Drosophila melanogaster: one gene and its partners. The protein of the gene in region 3 purifies or fractionates together with the protein of the main gene of each other region. This does not show direct contact. Each region holds a gene or a part of one and is shown on either strand. Other genes may lie near its edges.

Evidence for each region.
Region 1: the proteins of RabX1 (region 3) and CG5966 purify together in Drosophila melanogaster (affinity purification with mass spectrometry, with the first as the bait; one large-scale study listed by BioGRID). This does not show direct contact.
Region 2: the proteins of RabX1 (region 3) and CG32631 purify together in Drosophila melanogaster (affinity purification with mass spectrometry, with the first as the bait; one large-scale study listed by BioGRID). This does not show direct contact.

The regions. Positions count from the first base shown.
Region 1 is NC_004354.4:5,987,129-5,993,190, reverse strand, and holds CG5966 (uncharacterized protein), read right to left. Parts: upstream 4,401-6,062; 5' UTR 3,952-4,400; coding exon 3,834-3,951; exon of another isoform or gene 2,702-3,833; coding exon 1,806-2,701; intron 1,707-1,805; coding exon 1,098-1,706; 3' UTR 551-1,097; downstream 1-550.
Region 2 is NC_004354.4:13,554,957-13,558,416, forward strand, and holds CG32631 (uncharacterized protein), read left to right. Parts: upstream 1-1,515; 5' UTR 1,516-1,592; coding exon 1,593-1,763; intron 1,764-1,869; coding exon 1,870-2,637; 3' UTR 2,638-2,910; downstream 2,911-3,460.
Region 3 is NT_033778.4:23,519,286-23,525,411, reverse strand, and holds RabX1 (RabX1), read left to right. Parts: upstream 1-1,798; 5' UTR 1,799-2,141; coding exon 2,142-2,184; intron 2,185-3,219; coding exon 3,220-3,353; intron 3,354-4,445; coding exon 4,446-5,054; 3' UTR 5,055-5,573; downstream 5,574-6,126. Other genes in the region: mi (minus), read right to left, coding at 1-942, 1,000-1,062.

The DNA.
Region 1 (6,062 bases), on a different chromosome or scaffold from region 3:
GAGCGTTGGAATGTCCAAATGTTCGATCATAAAACAAAGAGCCGGCCGCAGAAACAGAAACTTAAACTGAAACTCAAACGAAAACAAAACAGAAACGAAAACCAAAACCGAAATCGAGACAGCAGCGAACGAAGTTGAAAACGAGTCGAATCAATGCAGATAATATCAATTATATGTAAAAGATACACATGCATGCGATAGATACATTTGCCCCGATAAGCATTTAAAATATTAACATCAACACAGACTGGGTATCCATGTCATGGAATGTTCCCCGTCTCCACAGTTTCGTGTTTGTGTTTATAATTCATTAGAATCCACAGCTGATTTGAGTTATGGCAGGCAGATCCACAACTGGGGGCTTGTCGTGTTGTCTTTAACCTTTTTATCACAATTATCTAACTTCAGGTTACCTATAAGTCGCGCTTTCGGCGCAAGAAATGGGTCTTCATTTGAATAACCAAGATTTAAATCACATCGGATTTACTTCTGAAAATTAAGCTTTGCTTGTGCAATTATATATGTATACAATATAAACACAGAAACCTTTGTATATTTGCATGTTTATTTACATTAAATTAGACTACATCAGTGCACTACGACTACAAATACATTTAACTCAAAAAAAAAAATATATTGTATATGAAACATATTATTTTATAAAATAAATAACGGTTTGATGATTGTTTCGTATTTCGAACTATTAAAATACTATAATAAAATACAAACTGTTCCTTCTCAGCGAGTTGCTATAAAAGTCAAACTGGGAACACTTTTTCGATCTGTTCCCACAGCGCAGACACGCATCTGCATCTGTGCCACTTCTGGTTGTGCAAACAACTTAGCGGTGACGCAAACCTGCACTGCTTTCTTTGATTTTCTACGCAATCATATTGGGTGCTGAGAAAGTGTGAGCTGAGTTCTTAATTAATTAGCCAATTAATCATTAGACATGAGCAAAATTACAAATTAATTAGCTAATTAAGTAATGATATAGCTTACATACAGTTCCGAATTTAGTGGATAATTAATCAATTAATTGAAATGATAATATTATCATCAATTAGCCAATAAATTATCAAGTAAACAGGTTGATATTAATCCTTGCAATAGCTGGAGCGCAGGACATTTTCAGCGCCCGTGAGAATGGCTCCTTCGTGCTGAGGACATAACTTTAGGTATAGGTCGCTGGACTCCATCGCCTCGATGAGGATGTACTCCAAGTAGATACGCGGCGCGGATAGGATGCGCCATGTGAGTGGATTCAGTATATTGGTGGGGTACTCCCAATTAACAGTCGCGTACTCCGGCTCTCGGAGATTCCGTCCGGCCACCAAAGCTTTGTATTCATAGCCCGGCTCAAAGTACATTGCCTTCTGGGAGAACTTCATCATCTCCGTGGCGGCTCGCTCATTTTTGCCAGCCTTCTTCACCAGGGCATCGTGCAGCTGAATGGACAGGATGCCCACCTCGCCGCCATGTAGCGTACTCTCATCGTGTCCGGAAACTCGCACTGTTATCCTATAGTGCAGTCGGCAGAAGGGCTTGCTATCTCCAGTCCATAGGTAGAAGACCCCTGGTGAGTCGCCTTGCTGCAGCTGGCCAAGATCAACCTGCTCCTGGTAATCCTCCTGGCTGTGGTAGCCCATTCGCAGGCACGTGTGGCCCGGCTCCTCGCAACTGGTGCACTTCGTGTCCTTAAAGCTCTAAAAAGGAAGAAACAATATTACATATTTTAAGTTTGAATATTCAAAAAATCAATCAAAGAGCAATTGATTAGCAATAAAAATGCCTAGGATACCCACCTCGAAAGAATCACAGGTTATTCCAAGGAAAGGACACTGCGAGCCGATGCTTTCCGTAAAATACTGCTGACTGCGAATGTGATTGCAGCCGAGGAACTCCTGCATGGTGAGGAACAGCGTCTTCTTCTTGACCACATCCTGGAACTTCTTGTTGCAGCCGGGATTATCGAAACCACCGTTGGGAAAGAAGTCCACATGTCCCAGTCGCATATTGATGCCAAGCCCGCCTTTCATCAGGGGATTGGCATCCGTGTGCACAATGTCCACGAAGTGGGCATCCGTCTTGTCCAGCCGCACGATGGGATCGGTGTCCGTGAAGAGAGGAGCAGCCGGATCCAGACCCGTTATCCTGGCCGGTTTCAGTCCAAAGTCGTGCTGCAGGTGATAGCCGGCATAGCCGGACAGATGGGCACCCAGTGAGTGACCAATGATGTGCACATTGTCCAGATTCGGAAGACGCAACTCCTCGTACAGCATGTGCACCACATGGGCGGTGATGGCGCCCACTAGCCGGATATTGGCAACCGCCTGGACATACGGCGGACTAGCGCCACCGCCCCAATCGATGAGGACCACGGATGCCCGACCCTCGGGCTCGTGGGCCAGCAGCGCCTTGGCCATGTCCCACATCCAGGGAATTTCACCGGACTCCAGGTATCCATGGACAAGCAGGAATATCTTGCCCTTGGGATTCATTCCCATGCCTTGAACGCTTTCTGGATCATTGAGATCCAGATACTTGGGCTGATCCAATGCCCTTCGCGTGTGCAGTGTGAAATGGGGCTCGATCTCCGAAGGCTTCTGCGGATGCACATTTATCGAACGGGTCACCGTGTTCCAGGGTCCATTGATCGGAAAACAGCCATACACTCCGAAGCATTTTACCTCGTTGATGTCTGGCGAGGATTGGGGAAAATCAGTGGGTTTGTTGTGGTATGTTTGGTCTATAAATCAACAGGCGAACACCTGAACTGAGATAAGCGGGTTGGAATTTTAGCAACAAATAACCAACTATCACTAGTTTTATATATAGTTATAATTCAAAACCACTGAGGCTAAAATCTTGAAAATAATCTACTCGGGCAATTTGAATCCATGAAACTATAATAGGCATTATAAAACCATTAATCTGAACGTAACTGCCTTCTTTTAATATTCCTTTAAACTTTTGCAAAATCTCAATTAGAACTGTTGTGGTCTGGTAAAAAGCCTAACGATCCATGAAAAAACCTTAGACAATTTTCAAGATGTCAGATGCCTGTAATGTTCCATTAAGTATTTCATATGGGCCAGAAGACTTCAATTTATTTGGCCAGTGGTGCATGGATTGCCGTCTCTATTTTATCGTGGTCTTCTTTGGCTTTCCGTTTGTATCGGAAGTTTTCGATTAGATAGGCGTGTGCCGCGTCCCTCCAACAACTGAATACATATTATATATCTACATATATGTACGCACGATATGTACATATATGAAACCGCACCGGACGGAGTCGCGTCATTAGCCTTTTGGGACCCTGATTTCCAAATCAAATTGAAGCACGCCGAGTTGCCACCTGTGCCTCCATCACTCAGGTGATCGCAATCGCTGCGGGCTTCTTGAAAGAGCTTTCCCCATTTGCTAATGCGAGCAGCACTCAGCATCTTTGGATTTCGAAGCACTAAAGATCCGAAAACTGTTTGCTCAGCACACTCAGCAAAAGAAACCACTTAAGGTTGCCCCTAACTGGGCCCAAATGACACAGCTGCGGCCAAGATAATAGCTCCAATTACTCTACTCTCTTACTCTATAAAGTGGGGATATCTTGTATTTATTCTAATCTTTAACTTATTATTGAATAATAGTTCTACATATTTGTAAAAATTTCATTTCATTGAAACACTAGAAATCCCTTAGCTACTCCTATTTCGACCGCCACTGTGGCTCAAGTGGCAGATACTTTTGGGCCACTTTCGATGGACATGTTCTAGTTACGATGGGTGGTGCAATCGGTGGTAGCCAAAAGTGGGCTCGTGGCTCGAATTACTTACCACTTTTGGGAGCTGGTGGTAGGTCCACCAGGGTGTTGACTGCCGCCCGACTGGTGTGGTTGGCCAAATACAACATGGTCTGCAGCATTAGGCCGCCCGTCGTGTTGGCCACATACATCCTGCAGCTGTATCTGATTCCGATTCCGATTCCGATGCCAAATGTGATCCCTTAGATCCTGGGGATCTTGGAAATTCCCAACTTGAATCACACACTTTTTCCCAGGGCTTTAGTCAGTTCTTAACTGAACCACAATCACAAATCACTTGAACGAGTGCCACTCGAGTTGGCTATTATCTAAGGCTAGGACTGTATAGTCGAGTTACGATGGGATCGATCGATTGATCGATCGGCCTTTTGTTTGGTGCCTGGCTTTTCTTTTCTATAGTTTTAATTAAGTTGACGTTAATCTTATCGACTGTCTTTCGTCTCGAGTGTGCCGTTAGCTTGTTAGGTTAGTTGGCGGCCCTCGGTTTCTTTCGATTTTGACTATCGCCAATGACTGGGCTATATGTCGTGTATATCTCCGCCGATCTGAGTCGCTTGGAAACCGTCGCACCACTGAGCGGATCAGCTGCGCCCCACGCAATTTTTATAAAGACGTAGACGTCGCGAGAAATCGAAACCGTAACCGAAATCAGAAAGCTGCATCCGAAGCTGCAGCCGAAGCCGCCGATCGAAGATAGTGCTGACCGATCCGCCGATTTCCCGACATATACATATGCGTACAATACGTCTACCACTTCAAAGGTCAAGTGTAATAAACAGTTGGTGGAAGCCGAATATCTCGTGGAAATTACCATGAAGGCTATTCAGAAAAAAAACATACTTTAAATCTATAACCCGTTCAAGTATCACTATATATACCATTAAATGTTGATAACTACGCTCCTTTTACAGATATTATTTCTATGGAAGTTATGTCGTATTTTCGCTAGACAGCCAACACTGACCAATGAGCTTCGGCACGCGACTTACAGCAGAGAGTGTGAAAGAGAGAGAGGAAAGCAAGAGGCCCTGAGCAGCTGATAGTGCACAAGTCGAGCGTTTCGCTCAGTGTAGATGCAAAGTACACCAGCTGCTCTTTGTTGGATGCACCTTCTTGATAAGGAAGCCGATCCGCTCTGCCGACGACAACAAAGTGACCGCCATGAATGCGTTGAGCAATCTCTTACAGGAAGAGGGCGGCACAAGGGAGGATCTTATGATGGGTCAGAAATAGAGGATGGGGAACAGCCCCCTTGGGCAATCAGCAGCTGTTCTCGACAACCCATTCGGCACGGCGAGAAAAAATATACTTATTTGTATAAACTACCCATAACGATCCTAACGATTTGAACCATGTTTTTAAGGATATTCCATTATTATTGGCAATATATATCTTTAAATTTTAAAAGATTGTTATTTTAGCTTACTTTAAAAGTAGTTATATATCTAAAGATCAATATATTTGTAGAATATCTTTAAGCATGACGAACCTAGTTTTTTGCTAGCTTATTAATAGAAGAAAATTGTTTTGTGTGTAACATGCCAAGTGAATTTCTATGAAAACTGTGTCAATCGACGGGCCCCTGCCACGCCCTTGTCCCTCAGCCCACCGCCACTGACAGGTGGTGGTGTCAATGTCTGGTTAGCACTAAATATATTTGCATATGTATATTATGTTCCCCATTGGCACACGTTATCAGCGGCCAGTAATTTTCGCAGAATCCCGCCGTTTCGCTTTCGAGGCGTCCAAAGTCCGGAGAAGGTGTTTACGAGTCGGGTTTTCGATCGCTTGACACTCCACCAGGATCTCGAATATTGCCCATTGACGTCAAAGAGGCGGCCTTTCAAAAGCGTTATCACGACCTAAAGTCTGTCTGCTTTATTCTTGTTTTTGTTTACGACTTTTCTCGAAAACACAACAGAATACCCTGGAAAAATGCGAAGCTTTTAATACGATCTATACTTAGATATGTCTCTGACTCAGAGGGTATTACTTCCGTAAAGATTCAGCAGCTATTGCCCCGATTTCCGATAAGCATCGAACTTTGATTTCGAAAATTGATTCCGGTTCAAAAATCCACATGCATTGCAAATCAACACTGGTGTCTATTTGTTTTGATATTTTCCCATCGACGGGTCCAACGTCACAGCCACGCCCACTTGTTCCTAGCAAGTGTAAAAACATTTTGTTTACAACAATTATTACATGTGGCGTATAGATTACACCGAAAGGCTAATTGAAA
Region 2 (3,460 bases), on a different chromosome or scaffold from region 3:
AAAATGCATCACTATATAATCATTTAAAACCGAAAAATGATGAAAATCAGTAAATAAGCATATGTACTGAATGAATGATGGGGGAGGGGGGGTGAGAGGGGGAGCTCAGATGCAGGATTGTAAAAATCTTTATAATCGCCACATTGTGTGTAAGCTCGTAAATGTGCTAAAGGGTATTTGGTTCGGAGTTTGTTTGTTCCAGGGGTGATCGAAGTTCATTGGTTCAGTTACCGTCTGTGTTTTTATTTAGAACATGTGTTTCATTAACATAATTAAAATTCAAATGTTACTTGCACTGCTTGAAGTGATATTTTAATATGTTTAACTATGTTTTTTTTTTTCTTTTTAATTTTTTACCTGGACTTCTTTGTCTTCGTAACCTTTGTGTCATAAAAGCGTTTTCAACGTTTTAAAGTATTATTTTTAGGGCTTGTTGCTCGACAAACCGGTTAACACTTTGAATCATTTTGGCCGCTTATTTCGTTCATAATCCTGGTTCTGCATCGATGTTTTGCACGTTTTCAAGGGCAGGCAGCTTTGTAATTTAATTCAATTTCTATTTAATTGAACCAAAGGCGTCTTTAATGTGCAACTTTTTGATTTATGAGTCCGCAACAGCAAGCGGCTGTCAAGCAACTTGTTCATTTCACTCCACTTCTTTCTTAGTTTCCCTCTCTTGCCTTCGGGAAAATTTAAAATCTTACTACGAAATTTCCATGCAAACGAAACATTTTCCGCCAGCCATGCCGCATTTTGCGTTTCCTCTTCTTTTTCTTCCTGTTTTTTTGGCACAAATTTAATTTGATTTGATTTTGGCCGCTGGACATGGCAAGCCCCAGGCAATTTGTCAAAAAGTTATATAGCTACTGTGTATTTTTATGTGCCGGCATATTTAATGACATTTTCCTCATTGCGACTTTTTTTTTTTGAATTTTCAAAAAATACAAAATACAATATCTTCTAAAATCCATGAGCAATGCCCAATTCTTGAAGTTTTTGATGGCCATGCAAGTGATGTGCCATTTGTTGAGTAAGTATATCTGTGGGCAAAGATTTCTAGCTTAGGCGTGTGCAATGTATGAGGAATTAATTTGTGTAAAATTGGCAAACAATGGAGGAGATGGGCCGAGTAAAGGTAAGCAATTTGTTTGAATTCGCTTGGTAAATTAATTGCACAGGTTTGGAAAATTAATGGACACCTGCAGATCCACCAGTGGCATTGTATGTTGGCCATTGTGTGGTTATTGAATTTAAGTTCCATAAGCATTCAAATGAAGATGCTGTAATTTTGCAGGAATATATAAATAAGTATATGGCCGTTATTAAATGCTGACCCACATTTTGTGTACTGGCAAAGCCAGTTTTTTTTTTGTTGGTTGTTAAAAACCATTTTGATTCTTGGCAAATCTGGTTCAATTAACTGCAGCCCAAAATATCATTTAATATCGCGATATGACCACAAAAATCATATATAAGAAGTGGCGAGCCTGGTCACCACAGCAAAGCGACTGAAAGCGAAGTCTGATAAAGAACAATCCTTACAAAATACAAAAAAATATATATATTTAAAAAATACAATTGAGCAACCAAACATGGCCAACATTCTAAGTTTTACCATCTTTATGGCTGCCATTGCTATTGGACTGGCTTTAGCCACAACAACGACAGCAAGTACAAGGACACCCATGCCCACTTCCACTGAAAAATCCATGGAAAAGGACGATCCCATGGAGTCCTTGGAACGCCGTGACAAACGCCAATTGGTAAGTGATTATTGAAGCAAACTAGTCGTGGCAAACTTAGGTGTAGATTTTAGGTTAAATCAATCAATTTTTAAACATTTACCTTTCCTCTTAATCGTATTCCCAGACCGCCAATGGTGGCCAGAGCAGCCTGGCTGGTTCCAGCGGCAACTATCCCGTTTTCTTCGATGGCCTTAATGTGAATCCCCCGCTGCAGCCACTGCCGCCACTGCAGCAACTTCAGCCTCTGCAGCCATTGCAGCCGATTACGGTGGTGACTCCTGTGGCCTCCAGTTCGAATGCCCAGAGCCAGCAGCCGCAGTCCGGCTGGCTGCCTCAGTTTAGCCAGAATCTTCCACTTATCGGAACCTGGGTGGGTGGCCTGCCCAATTTGATCAACGGCCTGGGACTCGGTTCGCTAAACGGCGGCTTCGGCACTCTGGGCGGCCTGAATCTGGGCAACCTGGGACTGGGTGCAGTGGCGCCGGTGGCCGCGGTGCCGGGCCAACTGCTCGGCTCGTCACCCAATCCCCAGACCACATGCCCACTCACCCAGAAGCTCAACTGCCGCTGTGAGCCGCTCGTTCAGCTGCCGGGCCTGAAGCCCAGTTCCAATCCACTGAGGACGCAGCTGGTGCAGATCATGCGGCAGAATGCGCGGAAGAACGAGGACGGTTCGCAGGAGGTGCGCGTAATCCTGAGCAGCGGACATGTGATCTACCAGCGGACGGCCAAGGATCGCGGCCAGAGTGGCTACCTTGCCATGAGAATTCAGTCGGGCAGGTACTTCAACATCTACTACAGTGTCAACGAGAAGGAGTACACGGTGCGGGCGGATGTCAAGGACACGCCACCCACCTCCGATTTTGACGACGAGCTGAGTGGTCAGTTCTAAAAATTGGTCAAAGGGATTTCCCTTTACTTACCTACAGTTTTTTTTTCTATACTTAATACTTAACTAGCCATTTTTTATATGAAATGCACTTAAACATATGTATTTGAATAAGCATTTAAACATATTTATGCTTATATGTTAAGCGTGCCCGATTTGAACCAAGCCGCCGAAATTCTTCGTAAACTCCATTAATCCCTTTTTTATTCGCAACTTTTTTTTTGAACTTAAACAACTACAAACTAGCTGCGAAAGAAATAAACTACAATGAAACACATTTTCTGACGATTGCTCCTTGGGGACAAAAAGTTTAGCTACAAAGACAAATATTCATGGGGGTGCGGCAATAAACTTGTTTTTATTGCCGAAAATGTTGTTAAAGGGTTAACAAGGTGGCAACGGGGGGGAGGTTGTTTCTTAGCCCTTAGCCCAATTTCCAAAAAAGGAACTTTCCTAATTACTGAAGCCACTTGGAAAAGAGATAAATAAATATTTACTCAGGCAATATTTAAGCAATAATTGTTCGCTTATTATTATCATTTTTCAGTATCAACTGATAATTATTCGTGAATAAAAGTTTTAACAATGGATATAGAAGTCTTTGTATTTTATAACTATTAAGTGCTCAAGTTTGTATATATGGCATAAATAGTTATAATTTTGTTTGTTTATTAGTTGCAGCAAGCCGACACCAGTTGAATCTGCTGGTCATGGAAAAACCCACAGAGAAAGAGGCCAGCAAACAAACAAAGAGCCAATGGGCAAATGGAAATCAAGCTGTAAAATGCCATATCCCTATCCCCCTCTCCACCGCCCCCCCCCCCCT
Region 3 (6,126 bases):
CTCGATTCTGGGTGTAGATGGTGGGCTATCCTTGGAGAGAAAGTTTAGCACGTTTGATTTCATGCTAAGCACCATTTTGATGACGTCCACATCGGGTGCAGTCACCGAGGGCGGCGGACGAACTCCCTGTAGGCAGCGACGAATCCGCCGATACAGCTCCCGTTCTCTCCTGCAGTTCTCCAAGAAGTGCGACCGGGGGTCGTTGGCGTTCAGCTGGGTGCTCGAAAGGTCCATCGTCTGCTCATCCACAAAACTGGACTCCGTGGGAGCATTCAGCGAGGAGCGAGCTCGTGCGTCGCTGGTGCACTGCGACTCTTCCAACACTTCGGGCAGATCCTCCAGCCTGGTGGGCGGCTCTTTTTCCGGTTGCTCGTCGTTGTCAGCTTCATCGTCGCTGTCGGCAAAGAGATCAGGTGAGCGTTCGTTGTTGAACTTCTGCTGCGAGGTGTTGAGCGAGGTTTCTAGCACGTTTGACAGACGTGGATTCGTAGCATTGGAGGGCCCAGGCTTGTCCTGAATTTCGGGCTTTGCGGTCAGGCTCTTGATTTTGCCATCGAAGGAGAGGCTGCCCGTTGTCGTGGTGGCTGTCGTGGCCACTGACACGGCCATGTCCACGGCATTGCAGCTGTTCTCCTCGATGAGGGTGTCGTAGAACCGGGGAAAGACAATCTTGCCCGGCGAGGGACGTCGGACGGCAGGGGGCTCCACCTCCGGCAGCTTAAGGTTCTGCAGCTGGGAGCCATACAGACGCTTGTTCACCTGGCCATATGGGCTGTCTCCGAAGCCCAGGAACTGCGATTCCTGGCTGCCCGTCTTCGGATTGGGTGGCGTTGGGGTTTCCTTGATGGGCTGGCTGCTCAGTGCTTTCGGTTTCATCAGATACGGTAAGTTCATGTGATCCTCGTCAGATATGTGGCTCTCATTGTTTTCACTGAGCGAAGACTATAAAACACAAAGTTTCAGCAAGCTCGCAACCGCAAGGACACCAATTAGTCTTACCCCGCTTCCTGTAGAAGGCTCCGATTCGTAGCTGTTGTTTATCTTGTTTCCAATAGTGGCCATTCTTCGAATAAAAATAGATTTCTCGTTGTAGTTATAGCTTCTTCTATAGCCCGAAGTTATTTTAGGCACGCGGCATTTTGTACAGGCTGCTCCAGTTTGTGGAGCCTGACGAATGGCTAGATTGACGGGGCAGAGAAAAGTGAAAGTAAGCACGGGGAGTCACTGACGATTTTCTTATCTTAGCCGCATTAATCTTCTTGGCAGTGCATTTACCTTTTGGAAATGTGGCACTTTTCCCAGGTCGGGGAAAACTAAGTTACCCAAGCGAAAAACGCGCGTAGAAGTCTGACTTTTGCGGACATTTAACGCGCTCGAGTCGCACGCTGCACGCCTATCGCTAGTATCCAGTTGTGCCCGCGAGCTTGTAGCTCCTAATGCATGTTGTCTAGCTCCTTAAAATACCTTTAATTTGTTAATTTATCTATAAAACACTGTTGTTAAAATCGCCTGTATGAACATCTGCCTGCTTTTGGCGGTGGTACTAACGCGTCTGGGAAATGCAATTAGTGATGGGCGATAGTTTTGCTATCGGGTGGCATCTTCCAAGCGGTAATCGGGGTCGTGATTTTTCTAGTAGTCATATTCCTGATTGGAATCCTTGCTAACCAATCAAACTAACACATAAATATATTTTTTACGAATATATTTACTTGTGAAACAAAGTTATTTCCTTGCGAAATTCTACTCTGCAAGACCAGCTATCGCTGCCAGCAGCAACTATCGCACCTCGTGTCAGCCCTGGTAAACAGCTGTTCGCGCATAACATAACACAATAACAACAAGCCTTCAAATTTATTAAATCTTTTATCTTTACTGCTGACTGCGCGCTTTTAATCGCAGCGCCCGCTTTGAAAACCCCCACCGACTCCGATAAATTCAGTTGTGCCCAAGAAATCAGACGCAGCAGGCCGCCAAAGGGCCAATTACGCGCTTCCCAACCACTGGCTCTGCAAGCAACAACAACAACAGCAGCAACAACCACTGAGCCAACAACACATCATCTCATCCATTTTACAAAAAAAAAAAACGTCACTAAAGTCCACGGAAAGCGATGCGATTGAGCCGCTAATCTCGGCGAGATGCGCGGAATCGAGGGCAAAGTGCTTGTTCTGGGCTCGCGAGGTAAGCACACACGTTTCCACCCGTTTCCGATTTCAATGGCCATTCGGCGGACTCCATTCAGAAGTCTCAATGATCCGCATAATGACAGTAATTCCATCAATTGCCCAGTGATAAGATTAACAACCGGGGTGAGCCGATAAGCCGTAGCCTTGAACTCCACTGGCCCCAATTGGGAATCTGCAGGCTGCATGCTGCAATCTGGATTTAGGTAGATGCAGAAGAGAGTCTGGCAAAGACAGCGTGTCTGGTTGGGATTAGGCTGAACTAGCCGATGAATTTAACCACACACGATGTCATCACATCAAGATGACGTTGCCCTTGGGATTTGGATTTACGATAAGAAATCTGTGTTAATGGGCCAAATTTGATGGCTTCCGTAGTGCACAACTCCGAAACTTAAAATTGTTCATTTCTACATTTGTACTCCAAAAACATATCAAGGGGGAAGCCTCCACCGTCTACCCTCTTCTACACAACAAAGTGGACATTTTTTGCAGCGTAATCGGCTGACGAATTCGCAATGAGTATATGTATTTAAGTTTGGCCCAAGGTCAACTAAGGGGGCTTATATGCACAGCGGGTGCAGTATTTGCTCTGCTTTTTCGCCAAACAAAGGGACGCATTGATAAAAAAAAGGCGGTACTTTCCTCGGAATATACGTTCTTCCCATAATCGCCGGATGATTCAGTGCATGCACATACTGCAGCTCCACGCGGAGATTCCCCGTCTGATCAAACACAGAGGGGCTTCTCTGAGCCACAAAAAAGTGGGCGCCGAACAAAGAATCTCGTGGTCGGTAGGCGATTCCTTATCGCTGTTTACCACCTTTTGCGGGCTAGTGCGTCTCCAGTTTTTGTTTTGTTTATTCGGCTCAATTTGCGTGATTAATCAGCGGTCAATTAATGCGTGCGCCATTCCACGTTCACTGATAAGCTGCACGGCATTATGCTTGAAGCGAAATAGGGCTCACGGGTACACAGAAAGACAATGCTGTATCTCTCGATTAATTGCATAATTTGTGTTCTTGTCTTGCAGGTGTGGGCAAAACACGTTTGGTCATCCGCTACATAAAGAACACGCTGCACCGCAAGGAAAGCGAGGTACCCACGATAGCCGTGTCCTTCTTCACGTGCAACATCATCCTGGACGAGGTCAAAATTAAATTGCAAGTGCGTATACAGCAGCCAGAATATGTATCAGTGCGACCAACTCTTTTGGGGCGAACGCAAATGGAATTGCCTCGTAAAAAAGCCGAAGCCAAAGGCAAAGCCAAAGGAATTTGCCACTGCCCCACGCGCCCACTAATCCTATTTGCCGGCTGGGCTGCCGGAACGCTAATCTGGGTTTATTCTGCCACTGGCTGCGCCGCGGGTACTTCTCGTCCGCCGTCTCCGCCGCCCACTGTTTTGGTCACTTTATTTGTCCTTTTTTGTTTGCAATTTGTGCGTCCGCTGCACTTTGTGTTATTCTCTTTTTTGTTAGCTCGTTCCTTTTTTTTTATAGTTTATTGATAAGCTAAACGGGAGCGGCAGTAGTAGCAGGAGCAGCAGCAGCACCAGCTTCGCCCATTGCCAAAGGGTTACCACCCACTTGGCCCTGGCTGCCGTATTTACTCTTCGGTGATCCCGATTTTATGCGCAGCCATATAACAATGGCCACTACAATGGCCATACGTTTACTCTCAACGCCAAACTGTTTTTTCTCTAACATGGATGCACAGGCAGCTAGGTGGATAGGCTTTAAACTGAGAAAGTTTGAAACTTTTTAGTAGAATAGAATTCAAGCTCTTTAATCCAATCACATAGCGTTTCAGCAAAGCAATACTTTTTCTTGGACGAAGTGCTTGCTCAGAATGTTGAAAGAAACAGGTCAGATTTGTTTTTCCCCCGGTTGACCCCAGTTGACCAGCAGAAGCAGTCGCCGGCGCACAATAAGTATGAATACATAATAGGATATAGTTTTCGTATTCCGCTTGTTAGATTCGCTTGCGGGGCTCTTTGTTTCTTTGGTAAGCTTTTGTGTGCTTCGATTTAGTTTCGCCAATGAACATGTCGTTGCCCCAAAATGCTTATGATTCGCATAAAGAGGAGCCCCTTGAAAAGACCCAAAGCAGGGATTTCACATCCAATATGATTGTTATTGCTGTGGGAAAACGCGACAATAAAACGGCAATTGCAGAATAAGCGGGCAATGACTCAATTAAATTCAAGTGGCGTACGAACTCTAACCAGTGCTTACTCACTCTCTCTCTCTCCTCGTAGATCTGGGATACAGCTGGCCAGGAGCGGTATCGGGCGGTGGCGCCCATGTACTACAGGAATGCCAACGCCGCCATTCTGGTGTTCGATCTAACGCAGTACAAGACATTCACGGAGATCAAGTCGTGGATTCAGGAGCTGCACCGCAATGTCCAGGACCCGATGATACTGACGCTGGTGGGTAACAAGATGGACATGCAGGCGCAGCGAGCGGTCTCCCGGGAGGAGGCCTTCGTGTTCGCCACCTCCATTGGGGCCACCTACTTCGAAACCTCCACCGAAACGGATCAGGGACTGGAGCAAGTGTTCATATCCACTGCCCAGGGACTGGTTCGCCTGGCAGACGAGGGCAAGAGTCCGTCGCTGCGCTCCTTCCAGTCGACTGATTCGCTGGCCTACACCAACACCAACACTGCCTTCAGTCACACGGTGGCCGCCCTGGCCAGGAGCTCCGGAAATGCAGCGTTCCGTCTGCCCTACGTGGACATTGGCTTGGCGGTGGAGGGCGAGGACGTGAAGACCAATGGCGTGGGGCGGCTGGAAACGGCGCCGTGGAGCATCGAGCACATCGCCCTCGGCGAGGTGGAGAGGCCCAGCTGGTGTTGCTACTAAGATCTATCAGATCCCCAGGATCCACATCTGTGAAAGAACCAATGTGATTTTAACAGAACCAGACTGCAGTTCGAATATGGGCTCAAGGGCCAGCCAGCATCGTTTAAGCAATCAAGCAACCCAACTCCGAAAACGCAAAGACCAAAAGCAGCCGCCGCAAACGCAAGATGCAAACTTGGCTTGAAGCTATGTATTAGATCACTGATTAGGCTAGATCCAGGATCCCCTCGATCCACTGACAAGGCGCTGCGACAACCGCTTCATCATAATCTTAGTTCTTAATGACAGCTGTGTACAGCAATTGCCGCGTGCATATTATGACTTTATACACTCGTTTCGCTCTAAGCCCATCTGACTTACCAATCATAAGATTAACCCACAACACACAGGGAGCAGCACTCACGAAACACTCACAAAACACTCACGAAACACTCACCCACAAGACATTAACACAAACACCAATTCATGTACAAAGCATTTTATACTGCATGCCTATAATAAATGTAAATGTAATAATGTATTTCGGCTGCTTTGTCATTTCGGGGGCGAAATCAACGCCCCCCCAGTGGCGAATCAACGGGCCAACGGCAGTGCAAGTGCATTAACTTGGCCATTAACGCGGCATCTTAACGTGTAATTGGAATTTAATGCCCCCATAACAATGCCAAGGGTTACAATTGTATTGGCTCCACCGGCTCCTAATGCCTTCGCATTAAGTTTGCCCCCCAGAAGCGTGACCTGCTATTTTTATCAACCCTTGTGCGCCACTTGGGGGCTCTTGGATGAACGTGCGTTTTGGATTTTGGGGAGCTACTAGTATTCCCGCCAAATTCGTTAGTAATTTCTAACTTCATGGAGAGCTGTTTCAGGAGGAGTTTAATTATGAAATGATTTGTTTGGACTCTCGACCTGGGAATGCACAAACAAAAATGTAATCTAATATATTAAGAGATTTAGCAAGGAGTGGCTTTTCTAAAATAAAATACCAGTATGCGAACATTCGAATCGTATGACAGACTAATTGATATAAAATCAATACACGCCACCCACGCTGCCCAAGCAAAAAACTGAA